2 linked regions of the Astyanax mexicanus genome follow. The protein of the gene in region 1 binds, or shares a complex with, the protein of each later gene. Links are inferred from orthologs where the notes say so. Each region holds a gene or a part of one and is shown on either strand. Other genes may lie near its edges.

Region 1 (7,372 bases):
TCTTTATTTTTACTGCATCATAATATCTCAGGAAAGAGAGGAAGAGAGAAAGCTAGAGAGATTGAGAGAGAGCGAGAGAGCGAGAGAGAGAGAGAAAGAGAGAGATATACTTTAAAGTATCTGCACGTTTAAGTATCATCAATAAGCACAGACTGATACCCAGTCCTATTGACATAATAAAGACGCACTTCTTAGACAATGCTCGTTCATTTACAGTAATAATATTAAAACTATACATATATAACTACACTAATAATACTAAAACTATAGTCAGGGTAAGTGCAGCTCTGGAAGTCCCCTGCACAGCTGAACAAACAGCAGAAAGGGGCTTGCCTGATTGACCTGACTCACTTCCCAGACTTCTCTTCTTTAAGCTTGGCTGATCCTGCTGCCCCCCAGAAACACTCATCTCCAGCTCAGTGGGCACCACACTGCTAGTCTGCAGCAAGAGAAGAACAAATAAAAGGCAGTAGAGTCAGACATTAGAGCACTTCAACATGTTTACCCTGCTGTCCTCGTTTCTGTGCACTCTCTCCACATTTGGCACGTTTATATATATATAAGTAAAAGTATATAAGTATTCATACCCCTTAAACTTTTTCACATTTTGTCACCTTACAACCACAAACGTAAATGTATTTTATTTTAAAGTGATAAACCAACACAAAGTACTGCATAAGTGTGAGATGGAATGAAAATGATACATGACTTAAAATTAAAAATTAAAATTAAAATTTACACTAAAATCGACCTTTCAGTACTTTTTGGTGTTCTAATAGTGAGCTTTTGGATCATGTCTTTAATGCAGACTTTTGGCTCTTTAATGAAGGTGTGTAAGTGTGAAGGATACAACTATCAGACAACAATGGATATGCTCATACCTGTGTGGTATTAATCAGTCCATGTGACAGCAGTCTTGGCATTCAACTTTAATGAGAGTTGATTAAAAGGACAACCAATGACTGCAGTCATTTCCAGCAAACGATTAAGATCACAGAATAATTGTTTTTCTCTGTATGAATGGTAGTTTAAAAAATAGCTTGCATTTTCCAGCACCCCGAGCCAGGAAGATCATGACTAAAGTACAAGTAAAGGCAAACCTTCCAGGGTGAACTGATTTAACTTAGTATAAACACATTTTTTTGGATTATTACATTTCATTAAATTACTAAAAGCAATAATGAATAAGGAAATTAAATGTTCACTGGTGTTAATCCTAGTTTTTAAAAAAAAAAAATCCAATAAAAAAAGGATACCCTGAAAGACTTGTTGTGTAACATTTTGTACTTAGAATAAATGATTCTCCTGTTGTAGAGCCTTGTTCTAAAGCACAGCTACCTAATCCTGGTCCTGGAGTTCCCCGTGACCTACATATAACTATGTTGCTCTACTGTTAAGACCATATCTCCTTCAGCTCAGGAAATGGTTGTTTACTAAATGATTAGTTACATCACGCATGTTGGAGCTGGTAAACTACTCAAATGTGCTGGCCAAAAATATTCAACACTTCTAATAAGGAGTGAAAATATTTGACCTGGCCTGCCTTAGAGTCATGGATCTGCATGGCTTCTTTCCTTCAGCAGGTATTTCTCACCTCGGCTTTGTTCCGGTCATCCTCCTCCTCCTCCTGCTGCTGCTGCTGAGACTGAGCTCCTCTCACACCTTCATCCAGGGCACTCCTCTGCTCCTCTCGCCTGCGGCTCACCTCAGTCCTCAGCCCCTCCACCTCGGCCTGCAGAGCCAGCACATGGTACAGAGACAGAGCCGACAGGGAGGATGAGGTGATGGCAGCCAAGATCAGAAGAGCAACTGCCCAAGAGAGCCTCCGGCTCTCGGCCCGAGATGGAGCAACACCTGAAGCTGGCATTACAGTCTGAGGAACTCAATGTTCAGCTTCTACAGAGTTCCACTGCTTCAGAGTCCAGCTTCCTCAGCGTCCAGCTTCTTCAGCGTCCAGCTTCCTTAGCGTCCAGCTTCCTTAGTGTCCAGCTTCCTTAGCATCCAGCTTCCGTAGCATCCAGATTCTACAGAGTTTCACTGCTTCAGAGTCCAGCTTCCTCAGCGTCCAGCTTCTACAGAGTCCAGCTTCTTCAGCGTCCAGCTTCTACAGAGTTTATTATCTACAGAGTTCCACTGCTTCAGAGTCCAGATTCTTCAGAGTCCAGCTTCCTCAGCGTCCAGCTTCTACAGAGTTTATTATCTAGAGAGTTCCACTGATTCAGAGTCCAGCTTCTACAGAGTCCCGCTTCTTCAGCATTCAAGTCAGCCTCAAGTTAGGCCCGAGATGGAGCAACATCCAAAGCTGGCATTACAGTCTGAGGAACTCAATGTTCAGCTTCTACAGAGTCCAGCTTCTACAGAGTCCAGCTTCTACAGAGTCGAGTTCATCTTCTTCAGAGTCCAGCTTTAACAGAGAACAGTTTCTTCAGATTTCAGCTTCTTCAGCATCCAAGTCAGCTTTTTCAGAGTTCAGCTTCTGCTGTGCACAGAGAAATTTGGAAGACACAGTTTTTGACAAAGTTCATTTTTAGATCATTTGTTGTGGTTGTCAGTAAAAGGAAGTCTTTTGTGGCATGCAAATTATAAACCTACCCTCAGCACGAAGCCAAATGCATGAAGGCGCTTCACTCTCAAGTTCATTAAACCCTCTTTAGTTTCATGTCCTCTGGTTCAACTTTGGAATACATCTGTAAAAATCTGCATTTCATAATACACAGCCAACAGATTGGTCAACAATTTTATTCTAAACTCAGGTCCTGACAGATCTGATGACAATGCCTGCATCAGGACAGACTAACGAAAAACAAGTGAACAAACTTACCATAAAGTACTTTGAGGCTTTCCTATGAATAATTTAATTCTGGTCAGGTTCTTGTGCCCAGATGTATTCCTTGTATAAAGTGGCTGGACAGGGAACGCAGCAGAGCGTAGTGTCAGCGCCCTGCCTCTATTTCAAGCCGTTAACCAGCGCTGTGCAGCTTCCTGCCAAGCTTGCTTTCTCGTGCTCTCTCGCTCTCTCTCGCGCTCTCTTCCTCGCTCTACGCCTCTACGCCACCTTTCCATGCAGGTCTGCCAGAAAATGTGTAATAAATAAATAAATGCTCCAAAAAAAACACTCCAAACACAAAAGCACAAAAACAAAATGTAACCAAAAGCTCATTTCCAATGAAACAAAATGAAACTCATCTTATTACAGGAAAAATGCAATACAGGAACCAGACACAGCTTCAATATGGAAACACGCAAGCTTTCAGACGCAATATCAGAACCTGCGGCTTGGTTTCTTTATTGCACACAGAGAACAGAAACATGTGATGTGATTACAAACAAACCACAAGTATACTTTAAAAAATATCCACAGCTATATACATCAATGGTGTGAATTAAAGTGCAACAATTTGGCAAATATGACAGTATGAATCCATTGTCCACCACCCTTCATCTTTAAAAATAGAATATGGCAAAGATTAAATTGAAACTGATCAAGTGTAAAATTAGCTGGCAGTAAGTAGGCCAGTCACAAGAACTACATTTTTGGACAGTATATTTTACTTAGAACAATTGTAAATTGCAATAATATGCAAATGATATAACAAATGATATCACTGTCAATTTAATGCCACAAATTTTAAGCCACTGAATAACATAATAATGTAGTTACTCACCACTCACCTTTTAAAAGTACAACTCATTTATTCTAAATAATTTTCATCGTTAGTATATATTCAGACACTGGAATGGGAATTAAAAAAGAAATATTAAAAAAATACAGAATACTCCAGCCTAACAAGAGTCAGGACACCCTACCCCTAGAAATGCACAAGCAAAACAGAGGGGTAGAGCCAAGGGGTAAAATAGGATTTAGCCCATATAAGACTACTCCTATTTGCGTGATCAATAAGCTTCTAAGTAGGTGCCTTCACAGGACAGTCCTACTGAGGATCAGTCCCATTTCGCCCCACTGACGCCTAGGTTTTGGAACGCAGCCACTGAGTCCTTAAGGAAATTCATACTTTGCGAAGACACTATTGCCCAAAATCCAGTATCCCCTTCTTCAGCACTTAAAAATTCTATTATAATATTTCTTAAAAAAAAAAAAAGAGTAAAGAATGAAACAAACAACGATAGCTTCAATTCAAACACAGCCATCATCTGTGGTGCTAAACCTCCGCTACCAGTCCAGAATTTCTAAAGACTCCTCTAAAGAGCCATGAACATGAAATGCAGGCTATTTATAGGAAACTCAAAATAATATCAAAGAAACACATCAGTGACCACACTCCATCTGCAGCTCCTCAGAACATTTTCTCACTGTTGGATCTGACTCACTCCACCGGACTGCACATAAGCAGCCACATCCGTCCGATTCCATTACAAACACCGGCTCAGTAAGAAACAGCAACAATATTCCACAGCAGACACTCAACCTGAACACTGCATTATTGCTGAACAGAGATTATTTTGGTTGGAGGCTGCAAGTGTACATTCTTTAAAAAGTGCTCAACTCTTCCAAACATGACATAACAGTGGATCACATTCTGCCTGGATGTCAACAACATCCGCCCATTCAGTGCAGCCGATATAGAGATGGAAGATATGACTTCACTTGAGTGAAGCAGCAAATAATGCTTTTTATTCTATTGGTTATTAGGGTTGGGTATTGAAATTCTATAGCAAAAAAGGCAGCAACTGGAATGTTTCGGTACTACAAAAAAAAAAGTTAATAAATGGTGCTTCTTTTTGATACTTTGCATAAAACACCAAAAAGTAAAAGTGCAGACAATGAGGTAGAAAACCTGCAATGGAGAGCACACACAGAAACGCAGACAGTGAGGTAAACATGTGGAATTGCTCTAAAGTCTGAATCTACTTCCAAAGATTCATCCACACTTTTTTTTTTCCTCGTAAACTGTCACTGTGCTAAAGTTCTAGTCTGCCAGACCTAAACCACACTACACTATTATAGTTTAGTGTAATTAAACAGCATCCAGCAGGATGATTAGAGAAACATAGTTGTAGTTTATGCACAAGTAATGCTGTTTTATGTTTTTAATAAAGTGTATTCGTTACAACAAGATTCATGGAGACTCTGAAAGCAAGAGAATGAGATTATTCACATCGGCTTTTTGTTACAATTAAGAAAAAAATATGGAAAAAAAAGTATAATTTGGGTATCAATTTTTCTTTATGTGACTCATATAACTGGAATATTGGATAAAGGGAGCTAACAAATCATTCAATTCCACATATCTGACTTCTCCACCCGAATATACTCTAATGAAAAGAGTGAAACATTACATGCACTTCATGCCAAACAAACAACCGACAACAGGTACGACAATATCCTTCCATTACAAGTCTCATCGTTACAAAAGACCACATTTATAATGTTTCACAAATTAAGCCTGATTTTAATGTTGAATCATGCATATGAAAGACCTTACATTAACACATTCGCACTGACAAATACTTTCCAAATGCCTGCTTTGATTGGTTAGGCTTTAAATGACTGCACATATAAAAGGTCAATTCATTTTTTTGAGTGCTGGGCCACTCAAAACACTGAGAGGGTTCTTATTTGTTGTGTTTTAATGATGTCATTCTTAATGTGGCATCATGTATCTACAAGAAAAAACATATGTACCTGATGTGCAAATGATCTGCACTGTCAAGCCACTTTTTGGCTACATTTACTTTGTTATTATGTTAATAATAGGACATACGTCTGGACCCACTACTCCACTACAATATTCCAAGATTCAAAGTTGAATCATGCCTACCTTCTGCTCTGGGGGAAAAAAGTATATAAATTTAAGAACAACAAAGCAAACTTACACCATCATTCAGTTGCAACCTAGGAGGACTTCTACAAGGTAGATGATTCTCTGAGACAAATAAACAATTTCCTGAGCTGACATTGAAGCTCCATCTATAAGCAAAGAGAAGGTGGCAAAACCTGTTGCCAGTCCCAGTGGGCTTTGCATTTGAAAACAGAGCCCTTAGAATTTAGTGTTTCCAACAGTGAAGTGATGTTTACTGTTTGAAGGCAGTGAAGATGAAAAAGAAAAAAGTAAAAATAATAAAAAACTGACAAATATTTTACACTTTGCCTGACATTATTAGGCAAATATCTTTATTATACAGTAGGACTTGCAGTGAGTGGACATTTGGTGTATACCAATGATGGTAAAGTCCTTAAAGTATAAAAGAAAAGTCCTGTACAGTCAGAGTGAATGAGTGTGTGCAATCAAAACAAGGCTAAAGGGGCATTACATTACAGAAGCCGGTCATGCACTCGTATTTTAAACAAAACAGGGAAAATAAAGGTTTCAAAGGCATTTAACAATGCAACCTGCTCCAATCAAAAACCACATACTTGAAAGCGTAAATATCATACCACCAAATTAAGTGCTAAAAATGGGGAGAGGAAAGAAAGAGAAGAAGAGAGACATTTTTTTTTAAAATGTACATTCCATTACAGCAGCTCCAGTGGGCTCAGTCAATGTTCTAGATGATGGTGACACTGGCTGAGCCCTGGGATGTCTCCTCTTGGGCATGGCTTTTCAACAGTTCCTTCATGAACTGCTCCAGAGCTGCAAAGTAGCCCTGGCATTGCCAGGTGTCGTTGTGCGTGCCCTCTGGAAAGATGGCGAGGCGTTTAGTCCGTGCGGGCGACAGCTCATACAGCTGCTTCATCATGACGGGGGGAATGAGCTGGTCTGACAGGCCAGAAATGAAAAGAGAGGGCATGCGACACAGTGCCACGTGTCTGTAGGACAGAAATTTGTTCTTGTAGCACCAGAGGGGCAGGTAACGCATTGGAAAGAAGGAGAAGAGGGTCGCTGCCATGTGTGGGATGCTCAAGAAAGTGTTTTCGACCATGATGGCAGCCACACGGTGAGGGTTGACTGAGGCCAACCTTATGGCCACGGCGCCACCCAACGAACGCCCAAACAGTACCATCTTAGTCTTATCAATATCTGGTCGTGACATGATGTAGTCCAGGGTGGCCTCGGCGTCCTGATAAAGCCCCTCTTCACTGGGTTCTCCGTCACTCTTCCCATAACCTCGGTAGTCCACCAGAACTACGTTGGCCTTCAGGTTGACGAGCATGAGCAGGGCATTAGGAACTCGATGCCCAATGTTTCCTGCATTACCGTGAAAATACAAAATAGTGGGGGCAGAAGCAGGATTCTCGCCAGTGTAGCGGAGCAAGATCAGGTTCAGCCTCACACCGTCTTTAGTGCGTACGTATACGTTCTCATGTGGAATTCCCGTGGGCATAGGGACATACAGCCGTGAGGATGACGGCTGATCAGGGAAGTACAGCAGCACGTCCTGGAACTTGTACAGGATCCCGGCCACAGAGGCC
Region 2 (7,346 bases), on another chromosome or scaffold:
TTGCAGAAAATGAGAAATGGCTGAAATAACAAAAAAGATGCAGAGCTTTCAAATCTCAACCAATGCAAAGAAAACAAGTTCATATTTATAAAGTTTTAAGAGTTCAGAATTAAATATTTGGTGGAATAACCCTGGTTTTTAATCACATTTTTCATGCATCTTGGCATGTTCTCCTCCACCAGTCTTACACACTGCTTTTGGATAACTTTATGCCACTCCTGGTGCAAAAGTTCAAGCAGTTCAGCTTGGTTTGATGGCTGTGAACATCCAGTATTCTCTTGATTATATTCCAGAGGTTTTCAATTTGGTAAAATCAAAGAAACATAATTTTTAAGTGTCCTCTTATTTTTTTCAGAGCTGTATATATCATACAACAATTTTCAACAGATCTACAGAAGATTTTTGGAAGAAAATAGAAAGGAAATAAATATTTTCCTTGTTAGAAAAAGCATATTACACATTATTAGTATACCACTGTGATATATTACATATTTTGAAAAAAATAATTTTGTCCAATATTATTAACAAAATACCCATATTAAATATAAAATTATGGTCTGCAACCAAGACTGAAAACACACTACAGTAAAGGGTGTGTAGAACACTGTTGTAGAAAAGAAAATGAAAGGTGGGCTACCCCCACCTCTCGTCCGGGGTACAACTTCCCCTGCGTGTTCGTTTGATAGAGAGAGTCAGACAGGTGGAGTGAAGCTGAAAGCAAACCAAGTATTTATTACAAAGTACTGAATATTCAGGAGAACCAATACATATAAGACAGTGTTACAGCCGTCTAAGTAAGAGTTCTGACCCCCTCTGATCTGACTCCATGTTTTATACCCAAAATGACGTAAGCCTGTTGATGAGGCGTTGTTAAAATCATCTCATGTTAGCATGCACGTGTTAATACTGAAGTTTCACGTGTCTGACTGGACCACTAGTGTTTGACCTTGACTGTATTCTTCCAGAATGGAACCTCATGGCACTATCTGTGTGTGTGCGTCACCCCCCGCTTTGAAGTAGAGGTTTTTTAGGGAGGCACTCACTGACCAAAAGGCTGCTTTGATCTAATAGCCTTTTTGTAGCAAATTAGCCCCGTACCAGTCGAATTGATGACCGTTAGTTAGGGTCATGCAGTAAAACAAAATACTTCAAGCCTGAGCTACATCTCATATGTTATATGTTAATGTGGGTTAATCTGTCATATAATAAAGTCTGTGTTAGTCACATGCCATATCAAACAATGTTTTACTATATGTGTAAAGGATATATTGTGATTATTGGTTAATCTTTTATATAAATGCGTGTAAAATACACTGTGAGTAAAAATGATCAAATATAATGTGAGTATTGGTTAATGCCTATAAAATACAAGGTTTCACACAATAATTATGTAATTATAGATACTAAGATAAGTAATCATTATTGAAAGATATTTGTCAATACACTCAAGGTAAAATAAACCGTTACTCTTTAACACTCTCTATACCTTTAGCTATGAGGACGTGCTTACAGGCCTTCCTACGAATGACCGTCAGGATTCCCATCAGCGCCAAACAAGTGCCGAGAAACACAATAAGCACTATGAGGATTATACGTGCATTCTGGTTTTCTCCAGCTTCTTTCTTCCCAGCTGTATAAGACACACAAACACACATTTATTCACACATTCACAATTTCTGTCCTATTAATTAATGTGACCATTGATTATAGGAGAGATGTTTATTAGTCACAACTGACTGAAACTCTGCTGCATTTCTGTAGTGTTCAGCCATATCTGTCCTCTCTTGATTTTTGCATAATTGTCACATGCACTGGTTTCACATAACACTTAGTGGTATACTTCTGATACTACATTATGTAATAGGACATCTGTCACACTAAACAGTATAATAAAAAAAGGTTTTAACACCAATATACAGTACCAGTCAAAAGTTTGGACACACTTCTTCTCATTCAATGTGTGTTTTTCTTTCTTTTTATGATTTTTTATATTGTAAAATTAATATTGAAGACTATATTAAAGCTATACAGAAACATATGCAGAATTATTTTGTGTTAAACAAACCAGAATATGTTTTATGCTTAAGATTCTTCTATGTAGCACATTTAGCTTTAAGGACAGATCTGCACACTCTTGGTATTTTAATCTCAATGTCTTCATGAGGTAGAGTCACCTGGAATAGTTTTCTCATCCTCTTAAAGGAGGTCCTGGAGGTTCCTCCAAACTGTGGTCCAGCTCACCCATATCAGTTGGGTTAAGATCAGGGGATTGTGGAGGATAAACACTTTTTTGTTTACTACATAATTCCATATGTGTCACTTAATTGTTTAAATGTATTTACTATTAGCAAATACATCAAATAAGGAAATGAAGAAAAACATTGAATGAGAAGGTGTGTCCAAACTTTTGACTGGTAATATATGCCCCATGTTAAGGCCTAATCATTCCCCAAACCACAAAACTTGCCACCTTCTGTTATCCTCAGAATTTACTTACATTCTATAATCCTTAAGTCAGTTTGACCCCAAAATATACACCTCCAAAAAATATTATAATTATTAAACCTGTTAGCAAAGTTTAAGCATCAGATCATTATTCCATCCTAATTTTATTTACCTGTTTGGCCTCTATAATTTAGAAAAAAAGATATTAGACGTTAAACACAAAATTAAACTGTGTTAAACACTCAATAGGATCAATTAAATTACCTCAAAGATAATTGGAGGGTTACATTTTTACTCTGCTAATGATTTTATATCATATGGTCCATTACATGCAATAAGGCCATCATAAACATTAACCTGTCACAGCATCACAAAGCCTATAGCTACTAAATCATTTATCAGCGCACGAACAGGCGTACTTACAGGAGGAAGGCCTACAATACGTGGTGCAGTCGGGTGGAGGAGAGTTGCATCTCTTGGAGCAGTGCTGACAGTTCTCCATAAGTTTATCAGGATAGAAATTGGGTTCACATTTGCCCTCAGCTATGGCAGCGATATAAAGGAAAAGCCATAAGTAGAGGATCATCTTTCAGCGAGGGCTGTGAATCGATCCTAATCTCGAGAAAACAGTATTTATATTTGCAGTATGTAAATAATCGCTGAGGAAGGGGAAGTCCCTGTACAGTTGAACAAACTCATCCTAAAGTTCAGTTTTTTTTTAACCTGAGAGATGTTCAAGTAAAGTCTCATGATTACTCTTCTCCTCTTTTCTGCTGTTCTTCTTCTTTGCACTCTCATGATGATTCAAAGCACGAGAGATACTGACGTATTGTTAGCTTACTGATACTTTACACTTTACTCCTGAGATCCCGAAAAAAATATTTTAATATTCATATTCTCTGGAAAAAAAATAAGAGACCACTTAAAAATTATGATTTTCTTAAATTTTACCAAATTAAAAACCTCTGGAATATAATCAAGAGGTAGATGGATGATCACAAGCCATCAAACCAAGCTGAACTGCTTGAATTTTTGCACCAGGAGTGGCATAAAGTTATCCAAAAGCAGTGTGTAAGAATGGTGGATGAGAACATGCCAAGATGCATGAAAACTGTGATTAAAAACCAGGGTTATTCCACCAAATATTAATTTCTGAACTCTCAAAACTTTATGAATATGAACTTCTGAAAAGGTCAGAAAGCTCTGCATCTTTTTTGTTATTTCAGCCATTTCTCATTTTCTGAAAATAAATGCATCTACATTTAGGGTGGTCTCTTTTTTTTCAGAGCTTTACGTCCCTTGTAGCGAACTGTGGCTATATTGCTTGGTCTCAAAATGTAGGGGTTGTATTAATTTTCAAGTCTTTTCCTGATTTTCCAAGGAAATCTGTGGTTGGAAATGGTAAAAAAAATGTATACTAATATCTTACAAAACTGGAAAATCTCATTTTAAAGAAACAAATTGATTATTAGCAACACCAGCAAAATATCTAAAAATATATCACATCCCTCCCCCCTTGCGATTTGAAAAGAAAGTATCTGTGCTCTGTTGGCCACACCCCCACAAGTGGGCCTAGTTGGAAATCCCAGGATGTCCTTTTGACTGTACAGTTGAAACAGAGTGCATACAGAGTTTTACTAGTAGGTTAAAGTACCAATCAAAAGTTTGGGCACACCTCTTCTTATCTAATGTGTTTTCTTTCTTTTTATGATTTTTTTTATTGTAATTTTAATATTGAAGATATTAAATCTGTACAGGAGCACAACTAAGCTTTGAGGACAGATCTGCACTCTTGGTATTTTAATATCAGTGTCTTCATGAGGTAGAGTCTCCTGGAATTTTTTTTCAGCCTCTTGAAGGAGTTCCTTGATTAGCAACTCCAACAATATTTTTTAATATAATTTTATATGTGTCCTTTAATTGTTTTCATGTCTTGAACATTAATCTACAATATCTTGACTGATACAGTATGTTCACTACCGTGGACAAAATAATTGGTATATCTCAGAAGGATTTGTACAGTCAGCAAGTAATGCTTTCCAATAGCATAATACATTCTAATACTATAAGGATTTGATATACTTACAATAGACAATAAAAGAGGTACCAGATAGCTTCACTGTGATTCTTTAATACCCAAATAAAACTGTATATTTTAATATAAATATTATTACATTTTCATTTAGAAATAAACTGCCATAGTCAACACAGCACTCACATAATTAGAACACAATCAACATTAGCATACAGAAATGATCAGGGTCCTCTCAAACATTTATTTTACAGTGTCACACTGTTCTGAATTCCTTTTGCTCACTCTTAACCATATACTTCTTACCAACTACAGGTGTGAAAATACTCTTACATTAGTCCATGATATCTCCTTCAGCCAAATAATGACATCTAAAAGCAGTAGTTAGTTTAATCAGGGAAGGTAAATTTGAAATGGATCAAACATGGATAACTAATACCCTAAAAGATCATGGTTAAAACTCACTAACTAACTCAACAGCCCATGTGGCAAACACAAGGCCAGTGGAGTCGTAAAATTATTTAGGTATTCTATTAATATTGAGTTTATTCATAAAAATTCCCAGTATCCACTGCAATGTAACAATAATAAAAAAAACGGAGTGTCTATTTGCACCCGGGTGCAAATAGCACGTGCCACACAGCAAGGCTATTTTCACCCCTTAATTAAAAAAAAAAGAAAGAGAACTCATCTGCGCATGTCTACCAATGAATGCGAGGGAGCGAAAAGGCGCAAATTCACAGATGGGGAAACGGAGACCATAGGAAATGGTAAGCAGAATTTGGTTATTATTTATGTACAAAAGGCCCATCACTCAATTTAACTCTACATTTTAAGATAAATATTTAAGACAGAGTGTGAGAATTATTATCTATCGAACACTGTTGACTGAAAACGAATAAGCTAAGCTAGTGTTTTGGTGGATCTCAGTTTAAGTTATTTGATTGAATTAAAGTTTGAGGCAGTTAGGTAACTTGTATCTAACCTTATCTTAGTTATTAAGTAAAAAGTTTTGTATTTTGTTGCTTATTCTGATTAATTTAGCTAGCTAGCTAGCTTATTGCTGGCTAGTACAGAGCCCGGGAGGGGCCGTGGGTAAAAAAAAATAATTAAATCGAGCGAACGATGTAGCAGTTCATGCCAACAATTTCTCTAATTCGTGCGAACGATTTCTTTTATTCCAGCGAACGATTAAGCCAACTCTTATTTCTAGTTCATGCATGCACAGGCAGGATAAACACAGTCTCCGGCGATGTTCATGCCTTCTGCGGTGGCGTTTTAGGGCAACTCTTAATTAGAGAATAAAGTCTAATATAACGAGATTAAAGTCGTAATATTACGAGATTAAAGCCGCAGTATTTTGATTTTAATTGTAACTGCTTGGCCTGCAGCGCAGGGAACGGAGGGAAAAGAGCACATACCGTCAGTTAGAAACGTAGATAAATGACGGTGATCTCAGGATCTCATAACAGATCATGCATGATCACCGTCAGTTATCTACGTTTCTAACCTGCTTAATATTAATGTTCTAGTGTTACAGCTTTCGGCTCTGCGCTGCGAGATTCCTCTGTGCAGGGAGAGCGCGCGGCGCGACACGGAGGCTTTCCACCGCATTTTAGTTTTTGCTACCAAACGAACATAAATACAGTAAATTCCAGTCATGAATAAAGGAAATAAACCTTTTACTGAAACAACATCTGTGAATTTGCGCCTTTTCGCTCCCTCGCATTCATTGGTAGACATGCGCAGATGAGTTCTCTTTCTTTTTTTTTAATTAAGGGGTGAAAATAGCCTTGCTGTGTGGCACATGCTATTTGCACCCGGGTGTATGCAGCAGTGTGTGCTATTTGCACCCGGGTGTATGCAGCAGTGTGTGCTATTTGCACCCGGGTGCAAATAGCACACACTGCTATGTACACCCGGGTGCAAATAGCACACACTGCTATGTACACCCGGGTGCAAATAGCACACACTGCTGCATACACCCGGGTGCAAATAGCACACACTGCTGCATACACCCGGGTGCAAATAGCATGTGCCTAAAAAAAAACAGTAGTTGTTGTTGAAACAAAGTGTTGCCAATTTAACTGCTTTTCAGACCCCTCTATTTTCCTCAGAAAGTAATCTCAAGAATGAATTAAAACATTAAATAAAAATACAAATTTAAATATTAATATCAAATATCATATATATGCATTATATATACAGCTCTGGAAAAAAATATTAGACCACTTTAAAATAATCAGTTTCTCTGATTTAACTATTTATAGGTATATGTTTGAGTAAAATAAACATTGTTGTTTTATTCTATAAACTACTGACAACATTTATCCCAAATTCCAAATAAAAATATTGTAATTTAGAGCATCTATTTGCAGAAAATCTTATTTGCTTTCAAAAATTCAAAGAAACTAAGTTTATACTCATTTAGAAACAACAATATTAAAGTTTTAACTAAGGAAGAGTTTAGAATCAATATTTGGTAGAATAACCAAGATTTTTAATCACAGCTTTCATGTGTCTCGAAATGCTCTCCACCAGTCTTTCACACTGCTTTTGGGTGATCTTACGCCACTCCTGGCTTCAAGCAGTTCAGCTTTGTTTGATGGCTTCTGGTCATCTATCTTCTTCTTGATTACATTCCATAGGTTTTCAGTAGGGAGTGGAATAAGGTCACCCAAAAGCAGTGTGTAAGACTGGTGGAGAACAACATGCCAATGTGCATGAAAACTGTGATTAAAAATCAGGGTAATTCCACCAAAGATTGATTTCTGAACTCTTCAAACATTAGCAGTGTAAATATTTGAAATATTTTTAACTTAACATTTTGCTTAATTTCAACTTGATACACTTTGCCTGTGTAGTTATT

Evidence for each region. The genes of interacting proteins can lie anywhere in the genome.
Region 2: the proteins of tnfsf13b (region 1) and tumor necrosis factor receptor superfamily member 17 are in contact, whole or in part, in a crystal structure (PDB 1OQD), measured with the Homo sapiens proteins. The link is inferred for Astyanax mexicanus from reciprocal best matches to the Homo sapiens genes TNFSF13B and TNFRSF17. Residues at the interface, in NP_006564.1 of Homo sapiens: Ser162, Tyr163, Lys204, Thr205, Tyr206, Ala207, Met208, Gly209, His210, Arg231, Cys232, Ile233, Glu238, Pro264, Arg265, Glu266, Asn267; in NP_001183.2 of Homo sapiens: Tyr13, Asp15, Ser16, Leu17, Leu18, His19, Ile22, Arg27, Ser29, Ser30, Asn31, Thr32, Pro33, Pro34, Leu35.

The regions. Positions count from the first base shown.
Region 1 is NC_064418.1:9,596,334-9,603,705, forward strand, and holds the start of tnfsf13b (tumor necrosis factor ligand superfamily member 13B), read right to left. Parts: upstream 3,166-7,372; 5' UTR 2,822-3,165; intron 2,698-2,821; 5' UTR 2,593-2,697; intron 2,480-2,592; 5' UTR 1,868-2,479; coding exon 1,595-1,867; intron 440-1,594; coding exon 334-439; intron 1-333. Other genes in the region: protein ABHD13, read right to left, coding at 6,508-7,372. UniProt on the Homo sapiens protein: Cytokine that binds to TNFRSF13B/TACI and TNFRSF17/BCMA. TNFSF13/APRIL binds to the same 2 receptors. Together, they form a 2 ligands -2 receptors pathway involved in the stimulation of B- and T-cell function and the regulation of humoral immunity.
Region 2 is NC_064422.1:23,727,279-23,734,624, reverse strand, and holds the start of tumor necrosis factor receptor superfamily member 17, read right to left. Parts: upstream 3,128-7,346; 5' UTR 3,032-3,127; coding exon 2,869-3,031; intron 1,631-2,868; coding exon 1,487-1,630; intron 1-1,486. UniProt on the Homo sapiens protein: Receptor for TNFSF13B/BLyS/BAFF and TNFSF13/APRIL. Promotes B-cell survival and plays a role in the regulation of humoral immunity. Activates NF-kappa-B and JNK.